Linked DNA regions of Mus musculus: all the other regions are reported to be linked to region 1. Evidence: microRNA targets listed by miRTarBase, many of them from high-throughput screens and not tested one by one. Region 1 holds a microRNA gene; each other region holds the end of a gene's coding sequence.
What was found. The annotated mature microRNA mmu-miR-742-3p reads GAAAGCCACCAUGCUGGGUAAA and lies in region 1 at 2,310-2,331, opposite strand. An mRNA with a match to its seed (bases 2 to 7 or 8) in the 3' UTR can be bound and repressed. Matches are read on the target gene's strand: a 7mer-m8 pairs with bases 2 to 8, a 7mer-A1 pairs with bases 2 to 7 and ends in A, and an 8mer does both.

Region 2: the mRNA of Itpripl1 is a reported target of mmu-miR-742-3p. Seed matches in the 3' UTR shown: 7mer-m8 at 1,057-1,063 and 7mer-m8 at 1,660-1,666.
Region 3: the mRNA of Orai1 is a reported target of mmu-miR-742-3p. Seed matches in the 3' UTR shown: 7mer-m8 at 3,581-3,587 and 7mer-A1 at 3,549-3,555.
Region 4: the mRNA of Smim7 is a reported target of mmu-miR-742-3p. Seed matches in the 3' UTR shown: 7mer-m8 at 1,898-1,904 and 7mer-m8 at 2,340-2,346.
Region 5: miRTarBase lists Sspn as a target of mmu-miR-742-3p. Seed matches in the 3' UTR shown: 8mer at 1,007-1,014.

Annotation. Positions count from the first base shown.
Region 1 is chrX:66,778,067-66,782,218 of GRCm38, forward strand. Mir742 (microRNA 742) reads right to left here and starts at 2,371; the gene lies at 2,307-2,371. It overlaps Mir883a (microRNA 883a), which reads right to left and starts at 2,767; the gene lies at 2,692-2,767. It also overlaps the pseudogene Gm14681.
Region 2 is chr2:127,137,022-127,141,021 of GRCm38, reverse strand. Itpripl1 (inositol 1,4,5-triphosphate receptor interacting protein-like 1) reads left to right here. Exons shown (of 2, transcript NM_001163527.1): 2 at 1-2,253. The coding sequence ends at 465. Gm35347 (a long non-coding RNA gene) reads right to left here. Exons shown (of 3, transcript XR_374955.4): 2 at 2,804-3,104; 3 at 2,279-2,397. Among named protein-coding and RNA genes, the nearest start is that of Itpripl1, 4.4 kb to the left of the region's middle.
Region 3 is chr5:123,029,365-123,033,364 of GRCm38, reverse strand. It overlaps Orai1 (ORAI calcium release-activated calcium modulator 1), which reads right to left. Exons shown (of 2, transcript NM_175423.3): 2 at 2,913-4,000. The coding sequence ends at 3,685. Among named protein-coding and RNA genes, the nearest start is that of Gm42023, 6.0 kb to the left of the region's middle.
Region 4 is chr8:72,564,409-72,568,408 of GRCm38, reverse strand. It overlaps Smim7 (small integral membrane protein 7), which reads left to right. Exons shown (of 5, transcript NM_172396.3): 5 at 601-3,211. The coding sequence ends at 616. Among named protein-coding and RNA genes, the nearest start is that of Smim7, 4.6 kb to the left of the region's middle.
Region 5 is chr6:145,961,195-145,965,194 of GRCm38, forward strand. Sspn (sarcospan) reads left to right here. Exons shown (of 3, transcript NM_010656.3): 3 at 1-4,000. The coding sequence ends at 301. Among named protein-coding and RNA genes, the nearest start is that of Gm32838, 5.7 kb to the right of the region's middle.

The DNA of each region.
Region 1 (4,152 bases):
CAGGGCATGAATGAGAGAGAGAACAAAGGGGTTAGTTGATTAGAGTGGCTGAAGGGAAGAAACGAAAGGGGAGAATTATAAAATATTTTAATTTAAAAAGCACTTAAAAATTAAAATGAAACTAAACTTATTTTCCATAGTGCTATGTCCCTAATTTTAAATATTTTCACCTATGAGAAATAGGAATTAGATGAAAGGTTCCCCCTATATCTTCACCTAAACAATGTCCTGTGAAGGTAGCTACAATCGATCTTAGAATCAGAAAATACTCTTGCATGTGCATCTATGTTCTTACATTTACAATGACAGTACTTTATGAGTATCCTTATATTGAGAGAGATACCCCAAACTGTTTAAACTGTTTAAACCCTTTTCTTAAAGAGACTTCCTCCACTGCCAGAGATCTTGAATAGCCTCCTGGTCAGTCATCCGGAAACAATTCTTCACATAATTAATGAACTTGGCTTCCACTTTGGGAAGAGAACCGCCTTTTTCTATACTTGCTTGCATTTTTGCCTTAATGTCTTCTACAGAACTAGGTCCTTTTGGTGTTTTAGGAGTCTTTTCCTGTTTTTTGAAGGACTCTTGACCCTTTGATCTCGGTGTTGACGGTTTTAAGTCTTTTCCATTTTGGTTTGATTTTTGTGCATTTTTGGCTGGGGTATCTCGTACAGATTTCTTCACTGGGACCTTTTCTTCAGTTTCCTCTTCATCAAAATCATCATCATCATCATCCTCATCATCCTCATCATCGTCCTCATCATCTTCATCAAGTTTTACTTTTTTCTGTATCCTTATATTGAGAGAGGTTAGTAGAAAGTGACTGGTATCTGTCCTATATCACAATGCACACACCAAAATGAATGGAGACATATCATCTCATCTGACTCTTGCATTACCAAGAAGTTTCAGGAGTCCTTAACTCAAGTTCTTAGGGAATATATATACTCTCCTTCACTTTCTATCTCTACCACTTCTGGATCAGAGAGATAAAAGTCCTTTAACTTTATTTAATTACTGGGAAGGAAATTATTTTTTTTTTCTTTAGATTATCTTCTTTCTTTACATTCTCTATTTTGAAAGTACCCATGAGGTGAAACATGGATAGTCTACACTATGTTGAAAAAGTAAGGATATGGGGCAACAAAGACTCAAACCGTTTCTGTGTTTAGTCTTTCATTAACACAGTGTACCTCATTTTCTTTTTATGAAAGCATAATTCTTAATTTTAGCACCTTGTTCTCCTTTTCCTTACCTAACATAGATGCTTGAATGCTGTCCCATGAAAGTGATTAAAAAGATACACACAATTGTATAGTAAGGCTTTGTGATCATCCTGAAAACCATTATCAGTGATCTTACATGGAAAGCACTAATACTACCTAGAACCTATCAAAAATAACTGAATTAAAGAGCAGTACTTTACCTGGAAGATTTGTCGGTAGTCCAACTGTCTAACAGCTTCTTGAGTGAGATATAACATAAAGCATGAAGATATGGAGGTATCATCCATGTAGGCTAATCATCCCAAGCAGTTTTCATCACTTCACCAATTACAGCATGACATATTAACATTGATTTATTTATTTTCAACTGTTTGGGAATACAAAATATACTTTGTCACCTTGCATGATAAAGGAAGACCTCTTGACCTATAGCCAGATAGCCAGTGTGACTTTAAGATTAATCAGTGATATACTTTGCAAATGACTTTTAAAAACTAGGTAATGAAAATCTTCTAAAAGAATCAGAATATTGGGAGCATAGGATGAGAATACAACACAATTGTACCTGTATATCGCTGTTCAATTACTGGAGAAAGTTACAGAATACAGAAGATAGGAACTTGGTCTATTTAAATTCAAATCACTGATACCATCATAATTTCAGTGACTTGAATTTAAATCTGTTTGGTTCTTTTTCACTTAGGGCCATATTTATAAAGGAAGACTCTAATTACTTGTAGCTTTTCAGTCCACTTTCGTGCACTCATCATCTAAGTTGTCACAAGATATTTGAATTGATATTCAGTTGGGCCTGAAATCATTGATTGGTTTTATTTCTGATATTTATATTCATGATCCCTATTGAGACTGGCATGCAATTTTCTGTTCTTATAATTTGTATAATTTGGGTTCTGTGCAAGCTAGAATAATGCTAACTTCCACAACATTTAAACTTAAAAAAAAAATGAGAGCATAGTTTCTTCAGGTACAAGGAAGCAGATTCTGGAGCCATAATAAGGATGTATAGTTTCTTCATCTTTACTACCCAAGGCCACAACAAATGAAGAACATGATGAGCTTTACTTTACCCAGCATGGTGGCTTTCACCTACACTTCACGTGATTAGCAACCATGTGAGTAGAGCACTGCCCAGGTACTCTAGAACCAGCCCATCTGAAGTCTTTATTTCAACATGTGAAATAAAATTGAATAGAACATTGAAGTAAGTCGTCAACAATAATTACTTTTTTTTTTTAACCACACATTCTTCTTCGAAGCTGTCTTCTCATGTTCCACCATTAGGATTTTTCTTAGTATACTTCTAAAGTTCTACAACCGTTCTCTTCTCTATGGTTATAGATCTGAAGATATCATGAAGATGGATGAAGTATAATCCAGAATCAGTACATTTATCTTCTCTATGAAGGCATAATATGACCATATGGCTACCATCCCTGCGTTTGTTGAGCCTTACAATACTGAGAGCTGTTGCAGTTACTTATAGAATAAAGTAACTGCTACTTCTCTCAGCATTATAGTGCACACGAATTATTATTATTATCAGCTGACTTCAAAAACAACTTTCATGATTCTTCTCAGTATGACATGAATGCAATGTTATTTCTTTACACATAATTCCTCAGGAAGTATAATCATATTTTCCATTATCTTCCATCTCCATTTCAAGGTATCAGACTTGCTTCTTTCTTGATACTCCTCGAATCTGTATGAATTCAAGAGGTTAAGAATTAACAAGTCATAGCCGGGCGTGAATCCCATCACTCGGAAGGCAGAGGCAGGCGGATTTCTGAGTTCGTTTAAGGCCAGCCTGGTCAACAGAGAAACCCTGTCTCAAAAAAACAAAACAAAACAAAACAAAAATAGAATTAACAAGACAAATATTCTTATAAATATATAGGTCAGGTGACACCAAAGAATAACAAATGAACAAGGCAAGACCTCAAGATACCTGCAATGATTTAGTCATCAGCATCAAGAGAATATATCAAATGAAGGCTTCAGTATGTATTAATCTGTACTTTGAGATAGCATAGACTGATCCTTTGTACTTCATCTCAACAACAACAATTTCATCCAACAGCTTTTATCACAATCTTCACAATTAAACACACCCCCACTAAACTGTGTCTGTAAATGTTTGATTTCACACTTAAGCTGATGATATTGAAAATCCAATTGATTTTGCATGTACATTTCACATAAAAACCTGTCACTACCCTAACTTAAAGAGAAATGATGATCACAACAAAACATATTCTTTTATCAAACTTAATTATAATTATGACCAAAGTGAATATGAAATTGTAAAGGATTAATAAAAATATAATTTAAAAAATGTGGATTTTAGGTCAAAAGTTTTATGGGTGGGTTCGTGTCCTTATCTTTCACAGGAGGTCCTGCCTGTTTATAGGAGGTGGCCTCTTCAGGTTCCATGTCCACATTGTTAGGCATCTCAGCTAAGGTCACACACAATGGCTCCTGGGAGCCTTCCCTATCCTAGGTCTCAGGGTCTGCTTAGAGATTACCTCCACCCGTAAGTCCCCTGCAAGATAGAGATTTCCATTCATTCTCCTGGGCCTATGGGCCTCTTTCTTTTCCCTTCCCACACCTGATCCTGCAAACATATCCCCCTCACATACCCACATTGCTCCCTCTGCCTCCCATGACAGTTCTGTTACCCTTTTTAAGTGTGATTCAAGCATCTTCAATTGGGCCTTCCTTCTTGTTTAACTTCTTAGGGTCTGTGGGCGTATGTCATGGGTATAAGTATGTACATACCATGCATGTTCTTTTCTGTCTGGGTTATCTCACTCAGGATATTTTCTAGTTCCATCCATTTGACTGCAAAACTCAGGATGTCCTCCCTCTTAATAGCTGAGTAGTATTCCACTGTGTAAATGAAATA
Region 2 (4,000 bases), not on the chromosome of region 1:
GAACACTTGTTTCTGAAGCTGGTGGGGCGCTTTGCCCCTGAGAACACCTGCCACCTCAAGTGCCTGCAGATCGTTTTGAGTCTTCAGGACCATCAGATCTTACCCCCGGGAGCATCTCGCCCCATTCTCACCTCCTACCACTTCAAGACAGCCCTCATGCACTTGTTGCTACGACTGCCTCTGACAGACTGGCAGCACAGTATGCTCTCTCTGCGCCTCCAGGACCTCCTCTGGTTCTTAGGCCGAGGCCTCCAGCAAAGGTCTCTCCATCATTTCCTCATTGGTAACACCTACCTGCCCCTGACCATACCCATTCCTAAGGCATTTCGGAATGCTGAGCCTGTCAATCTTTTCCAGCACCTGGTACTAAACCCAGTGGCACACTCGCAGGCAGTGGAGGAATTCCACAACCTTTTGGCCCAGGTGAAAACTCTACCTTGCTCCCCAGTGGCTGGAGGACTTTAATGGAAAGACCATTAAAATATATACATGTAGATAGGTATTGCTGATTCCTCAGGCTGCAAATGTGACTGACCTTCGCCTTGCCCGTGGGAAGAAGGCTGCAGCCAGTGGAGCCTGATCTGGGAGAGCTGGGGGTGGCTGAGGGCTTATCTCCTGACTTAATTTCAGTCATGACCTAAAGAAAGTAAAAGTGCGTGAAAACAAATGTTATGGGAGGGGATTGCCGCTGTGGCACTGAGATCCTGTTGAACTGCATTTTGTATCAACCCTGGAAGCCAAAGCTCCAGCGATCCCTCCGTGCTAGCTCAGTTCTTTCTGTGACTGGCTCCGTGTTCCCTGTGAAACAGCTTGTGTTGCACTGTTAGCGTAATTCCCACCCAAACTGATGCCTCCCACCTTTCTCCCTTGAAGCGACAGCCACAGTTTATACTTCAAGATGTAAGTTTTCATGACTGGTTTGAAAGCACAACCAAGATGTTTCTTTTCTTTTCTTTCTTTCTTTCTTTCTTTTTTTTTTTTTTTTTTTTTTTTTTTTTGAGACAGGGTTTCTCTGTGTAGCCCTGACTGTCCTAGAACTCACTCCATAGACCAGGCTGGCTTTGAACTTATAGAGATCCACTTGCCTCTGCCTCCCAAGTGCTGGGAGTGTATGCTGCCACTGTCAGACAAAGATGTATTTGTAGTTCATGTGTATGAGTGTTTTGTCTGCATTCTAATCTATGCATCATACGCATGTAATACCTGCAGAGGACAGGAGAGGGCATTAGTTCCCCTGGACCTGGAGTTAAAGATGGTTGTGAGCTGCTGTGTGGGTGCTAGGAATTTAGCTTGGATCCTCTGGAAGAGCAGCCAGTGCTCTTTAACCACTGAGCCAACTTTCCAGCCCCATTCTTTTCTTTTTCTTCATTGGCACACAAATTTATAGCTGTTTTTGTGTGTCTGAGTACTCAAATATTTGTTAGTTTTGATTCATTATGAGTTAGTGGTGACTCATCCCATTTTAAGAAAATGTGTTTCCTAGACTTAGTGAAACCAGCGACACCTGATGACCCTCCTCGTTCCTGGAAGCGCTATTAGAAAGCTCTTCCTGGTGATGATTTTCTGGGGGCTCTACGATGGACAATCTGTTTCCTAGAGAGTGGCCTGTTTGTTACATGGAAAGGCTGAGCTGCCGCTCACTGTGCGTTCCTCTGGTGATGGCTTTCCATTTTCTTTTCAAAGATGACACAGAGGTTTCTTGAACTTTGTGGTTTTGAAACGAGGAGTCCCCACAATCCAGGCCGGTTGCCAGGCCTGGGCAGGAAGGCCTGTGAAGTAGATCAGTTCCAAGAGCCCTGATTGTAGTCGGTGACTGTCACGTTTTCCTCTTGTTCCAAAACCTGCATCTTGAGTATTAAAAAAATAGTTATGGGTGTGGTTGTTTTTGAAGTATCAAAGCTGTTCTGTACCCAACACTGCCAGGAAATCTGGGAAGGAGACCCTGGCCCTTCGTTTGACTTTCCCTCTGCAGTTGGTGAGGAAGGAGGTATCAGATGCTAGCCTTTGGGGTTTCTGTGGAGGGATCCATACCATAGCCAAAAATAAAAGAATTCTAGAAACGTATGTCAATCTTTGAAATTCTTGCTACACAGAGGTATAGTATTCTCCATGTTACCTGCTTTCCAGGTAAAAGGATGCGGTGATGCCTCTGTGCTGGTGGGAATTCTGTTTTTAAGATGTCTGTAGACTTTTGAGAAAACTATCTGCTTCTATATTAACTCCAATAAAAATGTATGGAGGCTGGTCTCTGTATGAACTGGAATCTGTTCACTAACAACACTGGTACATACCTTTCCCAAGAAGTTCTTGTGACTCTCACAGCTCAGGCTGGTGTATCCTGGTGTTTCTCAATGCACCTTGAACCAGTCTGCCCTGTGGTTTCCAGTGGCATGGCCACTGGCCAGGAGGGAAAAAAAACTCATAAAGTTAAGGAAGGTCTAAGTTATTAATTTCCACGGTGCCTAAACCCAGATTTCAGCTAAATTAAAAGCTCTTAGTAACTACAAACAGCACGCTGTAGGAGTCTGCTGGGGCAGAAAGACGGTGCTGTGATTGCTACGTCTGCAGGGTTGTTTCTCATCTGACAGACAAGAAAGAAAACGTGAAATTATGAGTTGGGGGGAAGGCTACAAAGGGAATAGTCAGCAAAGCTTGGGTGGGGCAGAAGGTACAGGGTGTGTGTGTGTATGTGTCTATGTGGGGGTGGGGGTAGGGGTGGTGAGTAATGGAAAGAACAGATCTGTAGTGTACTGGGGATATTCTTAACAATCAAATGGAGAACCTCTCCAGATAGGATGCTAACCTTGATTCTGATACAGAACCTGGCAAGCCCTCAGGATGCAGCAGCACTTCCAGTAATGTGAATAGAGTCCTCTGAGTGGCGCAGGCACTGCTGTTCTCAGTAGGAATTCACTCCTTCCTTATATGATAGCCCACCACATCGCACAGGCTCTGTATTGTGCATGTGAGAGACTGAGACGCAGAGAGGGTGTGCACGTTCCTGTGGTCGCACACCTAGTGAGTGGCACCTGGAATAACGTACCCGCCTAGCAACCTTCCACTGTGGGCTTTGGAATGAAACAAGATGAACCGGTACAATAGCTCTGAAAAGCAAATGTATTATATTAGTTTTAAGAACAGGGCGGTATGTTATTGTTTGAAAGTTCTAAAATTAATTACTAGTTCATAGCCCAGGATTTAGATGAGGGATTTCTATTTCATACAAGGGGGCAGGGTGGGGGTGGGGGAGAGATAGAGAGAAGAATGTAAAGCAATTTCCTTTTTTATGTCGTTTCTTTTTCTTTTTAGTTTTTGGATACATGGTTTCTCTGTGTAGCTCTGGCTGTACTAGACCAGGCTGGGTTTGAACCCAAAGATCCACCTGCCTCTGCCTCTGCCTCAGGAATGCTGGGATTATCTATCTATATATTTAAATGATCTATTTATTTTTATTTTATGTGCATTGGCATATTGACTCCTCACACAGGTGAGGAGTGCTTGGACTAAAAGCATGCACCACCATAGATAGGGCCAGGATGTTGAAAAGTCATTTTAACAGCAATCCCTTTTGGTCTCAGTAACTTGATGACTTAAATTAGAAACTGTTAGGGCAAAAGCCAGCAAATCTGTAGCGAAAGGTTGCTTGTTTGGCCAAATGGTAACTGTTGTTCCTCACCCAAACTAAGGCTGTTTCTTTTGGATTTTCAGGAAGTAGAATCTGTTGTGCTGTCGGGGTTCTGGCAGCCTATAAGTGGGGGAGGGGCCGAGTACTTCACTTCTGTACAAAGAGAGGAACTGAGCTTCATGTGCCTCTGATGCTACTGATAAATCACTTAATCTTTTGGCACCCTTCATAGCCTTAACTCTGAAACAAAGGAGGCATTCAGAGTAGGACGTGAAAGACCTGCCTGGGCATGCTTGGCCTGTCGACACTGGGTATGGAGCTGGCACAGAGCCAAGCAGTCAGTTTAGGAGGCTCATTATTGCTTCGGCATAGCAT
Region 3 (4,000 bases), not on the chromosome of region 1:
CTGAGTTCAAATCCCAGCAACCACATGGTGGCTCACAACCACCCATAATGAGATCTGATGCCCTCTTCTGGTGCATCTGAAGACAGCTACAGTGTACTTATTTATAATAATAAATAAATTTTTACAAAAAAAAATCCTGAGAGGGATGCGGAGGGTCAAATGAACATCGTGCAGTACTTAGAGCATCGCCCCCCACCCCCAACACACACATTGGCTAACTAGACCTATTTTGTTGTTTCTGTTGGACTGACACACCCTCACGGGGTATTCCTGCCGAAATGCACAATCCGATTATAACCATGAAAAAAAAAATCTCAAGAGAGGCTAAACTATAAGGCATTCTGTAAATCCATAGGTCTGATTGCTTTAGGAAAAAATAAAAATGTTAATATCTGGGCTGGGCAGATGGCTCAGGGGTAAAAAAGCACTGGCTGCTCCCACAGACAACCCTAGGTTATTATTTTTATTATTTTTTTGAGACAGGGTTTCTCTGTGTAGCCCTGGCTATCCTAGAACTCACTTTGTAGACCAGGCTGGCCTCCAACTCAGAAACCTGCCTGCCTCTGCCTCCCAAGTGCTGGGATTAAAGGCATGCGCCGCCACCACCACCAGGCATGACCCTAGTTTTGTTCCCAACACCTACATGGTAGGTAGCTAACAACTACCTGTAAGTCCAGGTCTCAGGTGATATGACACCCTCTCCTGGTCATCAGAGGCACTGAGTATATATGTGTTATATATACTTACATGCACTCACACATACACATGTTTAAAAAAAATGTTCATGATGGGATAGGGAAGGTGGCTCAGTTCACAGAGAGCCTGGGCGGCATTTGGGTGGCTCTGAATTTGTTCCCTAGTTCTGCAAGATCCTTGGTATGGCGGTGTGTACCTGTAAGCCCAGAAGTTGAGAGTTGGAGGAGTCGTCTTAGTAGTTCAAGGTAATCCTCCATTACATACCAAGTTTGAGTCTAGCCTGGGCTACGTTCAGCTATCTTAATAAAACCTCCAAAGGTTCGGCTATTTGAAAAGATCAAGGCCATGGGACTGTTCCACATTAAAGGAGACAAGAAGCGACAACTGGTTACTACAAATGGTACGGGGGAAGAGGGATGGAGTAGGGGAGTTCCTAGGGCAAGTAGGAACCTGAATGTGAGTTATCAGGTGGTAAATGCAATATACAAAATTCAACTTCCTAAATTTGGGGTGGCGATCTAGACAGCACAGAGCCCTTGCCTAGCATCGAAGTAGCCCTTGATTTAACTCTCAGCACCCAATAAAGAGGACATGAAGCATCACTGTGAATTCCAACACGCGAGAGGTGGATGTTGCTGAGAGACCAAGGCCCAGCCCAGGCTACATAAAATCCTGTTCTCAGGAATTGTGGCTATGGAAGGTAATACCTGGGTTTTAGAAGGTCCTGTTTAAGCTAACAAGGATTATCTGTGTGTTGGTTTGAGCATACATCATGTGTGCGCTGGTGTGCAGTGAAGGCAGACAAGGCTGTCAGGTCCCCTGAAGCTGGAATTATAGGCCGCCTTATGTGGACTCTGGCAACTGAATTCAAGTCTTCTTGAAAAGCAGCGAGTGAGCCAGGCATTGGTGGCTCGCGCCTTTAATCCCAGCACTTGGGAGGCAGAGGCAGGCAGATTTCTGAGCTTGAGGCCAGCCTGATCTACAGAGTGAGTTCCAGGACAGCCAGAGCTATACAGAGAAACCCTGTCTCAAAAACAAAAAACAAACAAAAAGCAGCGAGTGCTCTTAACCACTGCTCTCTCTCTCTCTCTGATCTCAAGTCGTCCTAAAAAAGATTTTGTGTGTATATGTGTGGATGAATATATATGTGCACCACGTGTGTGCAGTGCCCCCAGAGGCCAGAAGAGGGCAAGGGATGCCCTGGAACTCCAGTTATGGGCAGTTTTGAGTTGCCTGTTTTGGGCACTCAAAACTGAACTTAGCAGTATGTGTTCTTGACCACTGAGCCACCTCTCCAGCCCCAATATATATAAAAACTATATCTAATAAAAAAGTTATTCATTATGTATACAGTAGTCTCCTACATGTATGCCTGAAGACCAGAAGAGGGCACTAGATTTTATTAAAGATGGTTATAAGCCACCATGAGGTTGCTGGGAACTGAACTCAAGATGTCTGGAAGAGCAGCCAGTGCTCTTAACCATCTCTCCAGCCCCCTATATAGCATTTTTGGTTTATTTATTTATTTATTTGGTTTTTCTTGGCAGGGTTTCTCTGTATAGCCCTGGCTGTCCTGAAACTCACTCTGTAGCCCAGGCTGGCCTTGCCAATATAGCATTCTTTAAAAAAAAAAAAATTAATGTGACCAGGTGGTGGTGGTGCACGCCCCTAATCTTAGCACTTGGGAGTGGATTTTGTTTAAGTCTGAGGCCAGCCTGGTCTACAAACTAAGTTCCAAGACAGAAAGAACTACACAGAGAAATCCTGTCTAACCTCCCCCTGACAAGAAAAAAAAAAAAAAAAAAAAAAAAAAGGGCAAAAATGAGCCATGTCTGTATGTCTGCAAACCACATGCATGCCTAGTAATCACAAAGGCCAGAAGAGGCCACTGGATCACCTGGCTCTGAAGTTACAGATGGTTGTGGACTGCAACTGGGATATTAGGTATGAAACCTGGGTCTTCTGAAGAGCAGCCAAATGCTCTTAAATACTGAGCCATCTCTCCTGCCCTCAGTGACACCTAAAACAACATGTCTTATGTAAGACATGTTTAATGTCTTAATCACATAAGGAACATATTGTGACGGGAGGTTTGCAGGGACCTAACTTACTTTCTCCTAGAAACAGTGGCTCAGTGTGTGCACAGCCATTTCTGGTCTTCTGGAGACTCTGTAGACTGTAACTACCTCCAAAAGAAACAACTCGGTACATATTTTAATTAGTATCCCTGAAGGTTTCTTTTGAGTAGAAATTTTCCAAAGTTACAGGTCTTGGAGTAGAATTCAGTGGGAGAGTGCTTGTCAAATTCCTGGGTTCTAGCCCCAGCAACACAGTTTTTTACAGCTGTTGGACTAATCCTAGGGCTTTGACCATGACAGGTTAGTGTTTTGTCCCCGAGCCATTTCCTCTCAATTTTTAAAAAGACTGGTGTTTAGTGACTCACCTGACTGGGCCATCCGATCAGGCAGTCTAGACCCAACAAACACAGACATGAGGAAGAGGTGTCCCTTGTGAATATATTTTATGTGTACATACAAGTGTGCATGCACACTTGCACACACATGCATGTACACACACGCACAGAGAGGAGACATGTGCGCACATACATATTCTCTCTCACACACACACACACGCACACACACACTTGGCTAAGGAGTAAGGAGTTTGAGGGCAGGACAGGAAGCATCCGGGTGGCACTGGTGCAGGGGAGAAGAAGGGACAAAGAGAGCAACTGTCCCCATTCCCCGCCCCACCCCCCACATCCTACCAGGAGGGGGGACAGACAGCTGGAAGAACAGGGAAAGCTTATTCTCACAGAAGAAAATCTCCAAGTACAGTGATTTTTTTTTTTTTAAAGCCTCTTCCTTCCACACTCTGCCCTGGCAAAGCCAGCTGCCTACACAGGCCGTCCTCCGGACTGGGCCAGGACAAGGTCATGGAGAAGGGCATAAGGCCAAGGCCTCAAAGGGCCAGTGGGAAGGTGAGGACTTAGGCATAGTGGGTGCCCGGTGTTAGAGAATGGTCCCCTCTGTGGTCCAGCTGGTCCTGCAAGCGGGCAAACTCGGCCAGCTCATTGAGCTCCTGGAACTGCCGGTCCGTCTTATGGCTGACCAGGGAGCGGTAGAAGTGAACAGCAAAGACGATAAAAACCAGGCCACAGGGAACCATGATGGCGGTGGAGGCAATGGCTGCCGCCTCACCCGGGGTGATGCCGCTGCTGTCGCTGTGGTTGGCGACGATGACTGATTCAGCGGGAGGCTTGGTGGGGCTTGGCTGTCCCGCTTGCCTCTTGAGAGGTAAGAAC
Region 4 (4,000 bases), not on the chromosome of region 1:
TCTGATGCCTCTGCCCCAGACCTGTGAGTCCTGAGACACACAAGTGTGACCACTGAAATGGCTTTTATAGTGTGAAGTAGGGATCTGAGTTCATACCTTGGCAGTCAGGCATCAGTGTTAGCATGCCTCTTGGGATTACAGGCATATACCTCAGTGTCCAGCCAACAGGGTTTTTGTTTTTTGTGGTATTATTTTATATGTTTACCTAGGGGTGCACACATGTGATAAAGTATGCTTGTGGAAGGCAGGGAACAATTTTCAGGAGTTGGTTCTCTCCTTCCACCTTGTTGATCCTGTGGATCAAACTGAGACCATTAAGTTTGGCAGCAAGCTCCTTTATTCACTGTGTCACCTTGCCTAGCCAATAGTTATGTTTAAGTGCAGAACCATGAAGCACTTTCATGAAAAATAATCCCCAACAGTGTGTTCGAGATAGTAGTTTGTTGTGTAGCCCACGCTGGTTTTAACTGTGTAGTCCTCCTGCTTGGCCTCAATGGTGCTGGGATAGCTGATGTGCATCACCACGCCCAGCTGTGTGCCAGAGTTTTTACCACAGCCCCTTCCTGTCCTCATGGTCATTTCACCTTCTGACTTTTCCAGACTGTTCGGCTCTTGAGTCCTGCGTGGAACCCAGAGATCACCTGCTGGACATCAAGGCTCTATTTCTGTTTCTGATGACTTCAAGAATCTTCTCAATGGAAAACCAGGGACCTTCCCAGAAGGCCCAAGCTCATTTGGGTGGAGAATGTCCATTTCCCAGCTCCCTGACCCTCGTCAGCCACAGTGACAAAGTCAGACTTTATTAGGAGAAAGACCTAGGTCTTTACCTTGTGCTGGCATTCTATCTTCTCCTGGCCCAGCTTCTCCAGAAACCTGACCTGGGCTATTTCTTGGTTGAATTGATGGTGATTGTTTTGGTTTGATTTGGGTGTCTTTGTCTGTTTTTTTGTTTTTTTGAGACAGGGTTTTTCTGGTTAGCCCTGGCTATTCTGGAACTCACACACCAGACGGGCCTCAAACTCATAGAGATCCGCCTGTCTCTGCCTCTCAAGTGCTGGGATTAAAGGTGTATGCCACCACTCCTGGCCTTGCACAGATTGTCCTTAATTGATGTGACTCAGGCACCTGCTTGCCGGGCCAGCTATGACAGTCTAGCAGTCTCTTTTGCACTACCAGGTCTATGCTGGTGGACCCAACAGTCTGGGGCCAGTGAGGTCTTACTTCCAAACGTTTCCTCCTCACCCCATAACTGGGTCTACCTGGGGCAGCCAAAGATTGCTCCAACATTTGGAGGAGCCGGTCCTCCTCCCTTGGGACACCAGCCTCTTCTTTAGACACTAAGCTGTTAGCCATAACATACTCAGCTTCTCCAGAAGAGGCCTGTGGAAGAGGTGCTAGTGGTGATGTTAGCAGACACCTCTCTGTGCTTTCAAGCCACTTGTTAATAAAGTGACTTTGGGGCCACTCCTTTATTGTTGCTTGTGATGTTGGCAGCGTACTCTGAAGGTTTGGGTTTCTGGGTCTCTCTTTGAAGGAGGGGAGCTCAAGCTTGAGGTGCATGAGGTTCAGAGGCGACTACGCCATCAGCTCTGAGATGCGTTCCATCTAGAGATGGCCATGCCGGCAGTGCTGAGGGACTTTAATCAGCATTTGAAAGCTGTAGCAGCTGGCTTGCTTTGGGGCTCTCTTTTTGGATTGGTTTCTTTCTTTTCTTTTTAAAGATTGTTCTGTTTTATATGTATGGTATTCTGCCTGCATGCATGTCTGCACACATGTGGATGCAGGGCTTGCAGAGGCCAGAAGTCCTCTAATCTGCAGCTAGAGTTACAGCCAGTTGTGAACTGTCATGTGAGTGCTGGGTCTTTTGAGAGTGACCTGTGTCCTGAGCCCCTCATTTTGGCTTTTTTTTAAAGACAGCCCCAAACTGTGGCAGATGACCTTGAACTCCTTATCTTTTCAGTAGTGAGACAAGATCCCAATTGAGTACTACCATACCAGGTTTTTTTATTGGCTGGTTGGTTAGTCTTTGAGACCATCTTGATGGAATCTGTGCTGATTGAGAACTTTCCATTCTCCTGCCTCAGCCTCTTTAGTGCTAGAATCCCAAGTGTGTACTACCAACCCTAGTCATAATAGCATTTTACCCCAGGCTTCCCCGGGAACTATGGGGAAAACTCTGGTAATGTGGGAACTGGGTCAAGTCTAAGTTCAGGCTGCACAGCTGCTGCAGACATTGTTGATTGTGTCCTTCACACCCGCAGCATGCCTGAGCCTACCCACTTGCCTAGCATTGTAACATGCCACTCTGTTGGCTGATCCCCAGCCTTGGATAGTTGGGATGGCTTTCTGCCTTTCTCAGCTTAGGACTGTAGTTTCAGGAAAAAAAGGTTCCATTCATTCTGAAGAGGAATTGTGCTGAAAAAGAATGCTGTCATAGGGTTTGCACTTATTATCTCATTTGAGTTCTGATAAAGTGTTTTTGGACTACTTACTGTGTGTGTGAAAAATTGAAACCCATGAATCTTCTTGGTTTTTATTATTATTTATTTATTTATTTTTGGTTCTGGGCTAGGGCCTTTTGATGCCACTGAACCATATCACCAGCTCTATATGTGTGTCTGTTTGGAATGTTGTTCAGAAACTTCTCGTGGCTGGAGATGTAGTTCATGTAGAGTGACATAGTATAATTTTACAGGAAAGGACTGAGAGTCTGGCTCAGGGGTGGAGTTCCTGCCTAGAATTTCCCAGTGAGGGGCTGGGGTGTGTGGCTCAGGGATGGGGTCCCTTTCAGAACCATTTGAGACTCTCAAGTCAGATGTTCTAGAAGCTGTTAAGCAATAGCTCTTTCCCTTGCTATAACCAGATATATGTAACCTGAAGTGACAACCCACTTTGTGCTCCTGAAGGTTAAACCTGTTATCCCAACGTTACCACTGGGATATGGAGTTTCAGTTAAATTGTCTCTCACGCTTAAGAGCTACAAGATATGAAGTGCTGTCTTCTGCCTCCCACCACCCAGCCTGAACAAATAAGCCCTCTTTTTATCCCTTCTTTACAACACTGACAAACACACAGGTCAAGTTGTCCACAAGTGATCATGCTGGGATGCTGCAGAGCGGAGGACTGTGTTGTACTGGGTCTACCTGATTATAGTGTCGCACATACAGCCACAAGCATATGCTGTGTGCAAATAAAAAACAAAAGAGTTACCATGACAAACATTCAGTCTATCTACTCCTATCCTTACCCAGATAGCCTTATGAAAGTATACCACCAACAGAGAACTGAAGAGTTCAACTCATCACCTAGGACCCTCTGACTTTTCAGATGATGGCTGCCTGTAGGTCACTGAGCAGCTCAGAAGGGCAGTGCCTCTGGGCTGGCAGCAGTGTTCACTCCAAAGGGCCTTCAGGTTCTCTAGGCCTCACGCTGAGCAAGGCCCATCTCGAAGGATACAAGAGTCGCCAAGACAGCACCAACAGCAAGACCATGTGGAAGAAGCCATGGTATGTGAGGAGCAGGGTCCAGGGCCAATCATCCAGGGTGTAGCCATTCTGTAGCATCTGACTGGACAGGCACAGTACAGCCCTGCCACTTCGCAGCATCCCATGGATGCTCTGAGCTAATGGGCATTTCCTAGATGGAAGACATAAGCAAATCCTTAGCCTTCATTGTCTTCCTGGCTTCGAGAACAAAATGTGCCCGTGGTTACAGTCCTGCCATGTGTATGCTGTGGTTTATGGTAGCTTCTCTGGTGGGGTGCATAGCTTCTCAGGGGGGAGGCTCTGGATTGCTTGGTCCTGCCCCAGCAGGGAAGCTTCTGTTTGCTTTACTCTAAGTTTCTTTTCTTTCTTTTTTTTTTTTTTTTTTTTTTTGGATTTTCGAGACAGGGTTTCTCTGTGTAGCCCTGGCTGTCCTGGCACTCACTTTGTAGACCAGTCTGGCCTCGAACTCAGAAATCCGCCTGCCTCTGCCTCCCGAGTGCTGGGATTAAAGGCGT
Region 5 (4,000 bases), not on the chromosome of region 1:
CCACCACTACTCCCTGCTTGCGCAGTTTACCTGCGAGACCTCCCTGGATTCTTGCCAGTGCAAGCTGCCTTCCTCGGAGCCGCTCAGCAGGGCCTTTGTTTACAGGGATGTGACTGACTGTACCAGCGTCACTGGCACTTTCAAATTGTTCTTAATCATCCAGATGGTCCTAAACCTGGTCTGTGGCCTCGTGTGCTTGCTGGCTTGCTTTGTGATGTGGAAACACAGGTACCAGGTCTTTTATGTGGGTGTTGGGCTGCGCTCCCTGATGGCTTCTGATGGCCAGCTACCAAAGGCCTAACAGGTTGGCTCAGAGGGAGACAAGCTCAGAAACGGCACACCCACTGACTAGGCAAGGTGAAAAAAACCACAATTTTGTAAAGGCAAACTTTTGACAACGAATACTTTTTCATTCTCTAAATGTGTATTTTTAGATTTTTTTTTCAGAAAACAAAACAACTTGTTTTTTGGATCTCTATTGTACTTTTTAAAAACTTCTTGTGAGGACAGGGGTGGAGAGACGGCTTACAAGTGAAGAGGACTTGCTGCTCTTGCGGAGGACTCGGGTTCAAGCTCAGTTCCGGAGCCCAAGTTCAGTGGCTCACAGTTACCTGTACCTCCAGCTCCGGGGACATTGGGAGCACACGCATGCGCACACGCGTGATTTAGAGAATCTAACCTATTTTTAAAGTTCTAATGAGAAACAAGATTCAAATTGACTTGGTGAACACCGAAAGGAAAAGAACACCAGACAGGGAAGAGATGACCTAGAGCCAGCGCTAGCTCTGGTGTTTATCCCAGCCGCCCTTACATCCTCACCCTCCTCCGCCTTCCCGTTAGTCCAGTGCGATGGTGTGAACTGGCATCACCCATAGACTCTAGAGTCTTCCGGCTCCTCTACCACCTGCCATTATCCCCGTGGTGTCTTGGGAAAGGTCTAAGGAAAGCTGGATCTCAGTTGAGTGCTTTTATGTTTTCACAGTGGAGATGTCTTCAAGGCATGAAATGGCTTTAAAAAAAAAAAACTAGTTGAACAGGAAGGCTGAGTGATTCTGAACACCTGGGCTGGGGTGCAGACTTCCGGTTGCCTTAGCTCCGATCCACGAGTGGGCTGCAGCCTCCGTGAGGTCTGATTCACCATAATTGAAAGGTGGTGCTGTTGCATTCTTAACGACGAGGAAAGTTTAAAAATAATTATATTATGCCTCTAGTCTGTCATCTAAAACAAATCATTAAGACTAATTTCCAGCTAATTGTTCATTATAATTATGCTCAGGATTCTGTTTAATGAGCTCTGGCTGTTCTTAGGCAGCACCGTTGGTGTTAGGAAAAATTACAGCCACAAGGGAAGATGGCTGAAGATCCACTTTCCTGGAAATCATCCACTGCAAAAAATGATCTTGTAAAACATTGAAACACTCTCAGAGGGGAAACAACCAAGAGCATTTGTCACAGGAAATGCTTATATTAACAACACATTTGTGATATTGAAAAGTATCTCCCAGGACCACCAAGTACCTTTGATGGGATTGGGTACTAAGTCCTGTCATACACATGGACTTCCTGGGAAATCCTAGTAATGAGGGCTTTTACAATTGACCTAGAGACAGAATGTCTCAAAGCCCTTGTTTGGGTGATACGTCCACAGTTAGGGTATTCAGTCTCAGTTTAGAGTTAAGACATGGTACTTGGTTAAGACAGACTTTGCTATGTAATTGGGTAAAATTCCACCAAAAGGAATGGGGTGGTGGTGGCACATGTCTTTAATTCCGGCACTTGGGAAGTAGAGGCAGGTGTATTTCTGTGAGTTGAAGGCTAGCCTGGTCTACAAAGAAAGTTCTAGGACAGCCAGAGCAGAGAGAGAAACCCTGTCTTGAAAAAAACAAAACTTAACAAACAAAAACAAGAAAAAAAAAGGGGGGGGGACTGCTTTCAGACAAAATTGCATGAATGCCACAGTAAGCTTCCTGGTACTAACCTGGGAAACCTTTAGTGTTTGTTAAGAATAACCAGCTCCGGGCTGTGGAGATGGCTCAGTTATCAAAGTCCTTGCCATCCCAGTAAGAACCTGATCCCATGTAAAACAGCCAGGCACAGGTGTGTGCTTGTGATCCTGGCATTGCAGAGGCAGAGACAGGCAGATCCCTGGGGCTCCTTCACCAGCCATCTTTAGTGTAGTGATTAACTTCAGGTCCATGATGAGAGAGTTTGTCTCAAGAAAAAAACCAACACTAAAAATAACCCGGAGTGGATAGCTGGCCCCTGGCCTTCCCATGAATGCACACACACAGTTAAGAGTAACCAATCTCACGCTGACTTTCGATAGTTTTCTATAAAACATGGTACATGGTAGAGAATCCAGGATGTCACGGGCTGTCCTTTCAAAGTGACGCTGTTTTCACGCCTGTTACTGTGCACCCAGCCCTGCTGGAAGCACACACAGAATGCCTTTGTCCAACAAACTCAACAGGTTTTTGTTTTTGTTTTTTAAATGAGGAAATTAAGATTCCCCCACACAGTTAAGTTGCTCTAAGCTTTACAAACGTATGCTTTACAAACAACTCACGGGGGGGGGGGGCATTTTAAAGGGTAGAGCAATTTTAGCCTGTGGGTTTCTTACTTTTCTAACACAACCAAGGCTTGGGGTGGTTCCAGCTTATAATATTCTGTCTGCATAAGATGGGGATTTTACTATTATGATCAAATTATTAACTTCCCAAAGAGGAGGAGGCACTGTAAGTGAAGAGAAGGAGCAGAGCCGGGTGGCAGGACCCTGTGCTGGGAGCTTACGATATGCTGGTGTAGTAAGGGCTACGCTGCGTGAGTAACAAATGACTTTGGGCCGGATCTGAAATATTTTGACGTTATGTTTTGCAAATATTGAAGCTTCAGTAAGGGCAGCAGAGAAGGAGCGGGCACACAGCTTCTCACTTAGCAAAATGTCACACTTCAAATCTGTCACAGAGCCAGGACGGAACGGTGACTGTGCCTTGTGCCTTCCAAACTGTAGAACGGAGAGGTTTGCAAAGCCCTTCCTCCCCCAGCCTCCTTCAGGAGAATTAAATGAATCAAGACTTTTCAAAGAGGAGAAACGGCCAGGGCTTGGCAGTACTTGGAATAGGAATACGGCCACCTGGGTGTTCGGGCTGTAACTGAGCCCACTCAACGGGTCTGTGTCTTTATGTGACCTTTGTGGCTCCGAGCTCCATCCAAATTGGTATAGGCAGCATCTTGGAGCCATGCCTAAACCGTAGCTACTCCAAAGCCCTAGAAACTGTAGTCAAGTAACAGGCCTCACGCCCCGTCTTTGGATTGAGAGCTCAGATCTTCTCTTCTGAGTGCCTTCCAGTGTGTTCCTACAGCGACACTCCATTCTATATGTTTTTCTATTCACATCCAAGACATGAGGATCTCTTGATGCTCCCTCACTTCTGTGTGCATTATATCTGGGGCATATTTATGAAATTGTAGTAGAGTCTTCATTAAAGCCATCAAAGGATATTAGGAGGGGCAACTATAGAGGGGCCACTGAAAGATGATTAGAAATAACCTTGAAAGCTGTCCACCATTTGCAGTCATGAACGGTGTCTTCATATTTCCTGGTGACTACCTCAGAACTGACACTGCGTGATCACCTTTGTATAAGTGTGCCGCAGATATAGCGGGTTCACCTTTGTATAAGTGTGCCGCAGATATAGCGGGTTCACCTTTGTATAAGTGTGCCGCAGATATAGCGGGTTTACTCTCGTTACCCCAGAATGTGTTTTAATGGTACAGTGCAAGTTCAGCCTCTCTGATGGCCAGCTGCTTAGTGTGTAAGCCACTGAAATGGATTCGTGTCTTCTCATTTTCTTGTCTCAAGTGAGCACTGCCCCTCTCAGAATTATGAGTCTGCATATGGTGCTGCAGCCGCCTTTCCTGGCCTTGATCAAATTGAGAGTAGACGATGGAGTGTTTCTACACATTTGAGGTGGTTATTTTTAAAGGGTGTGTGTTTCCT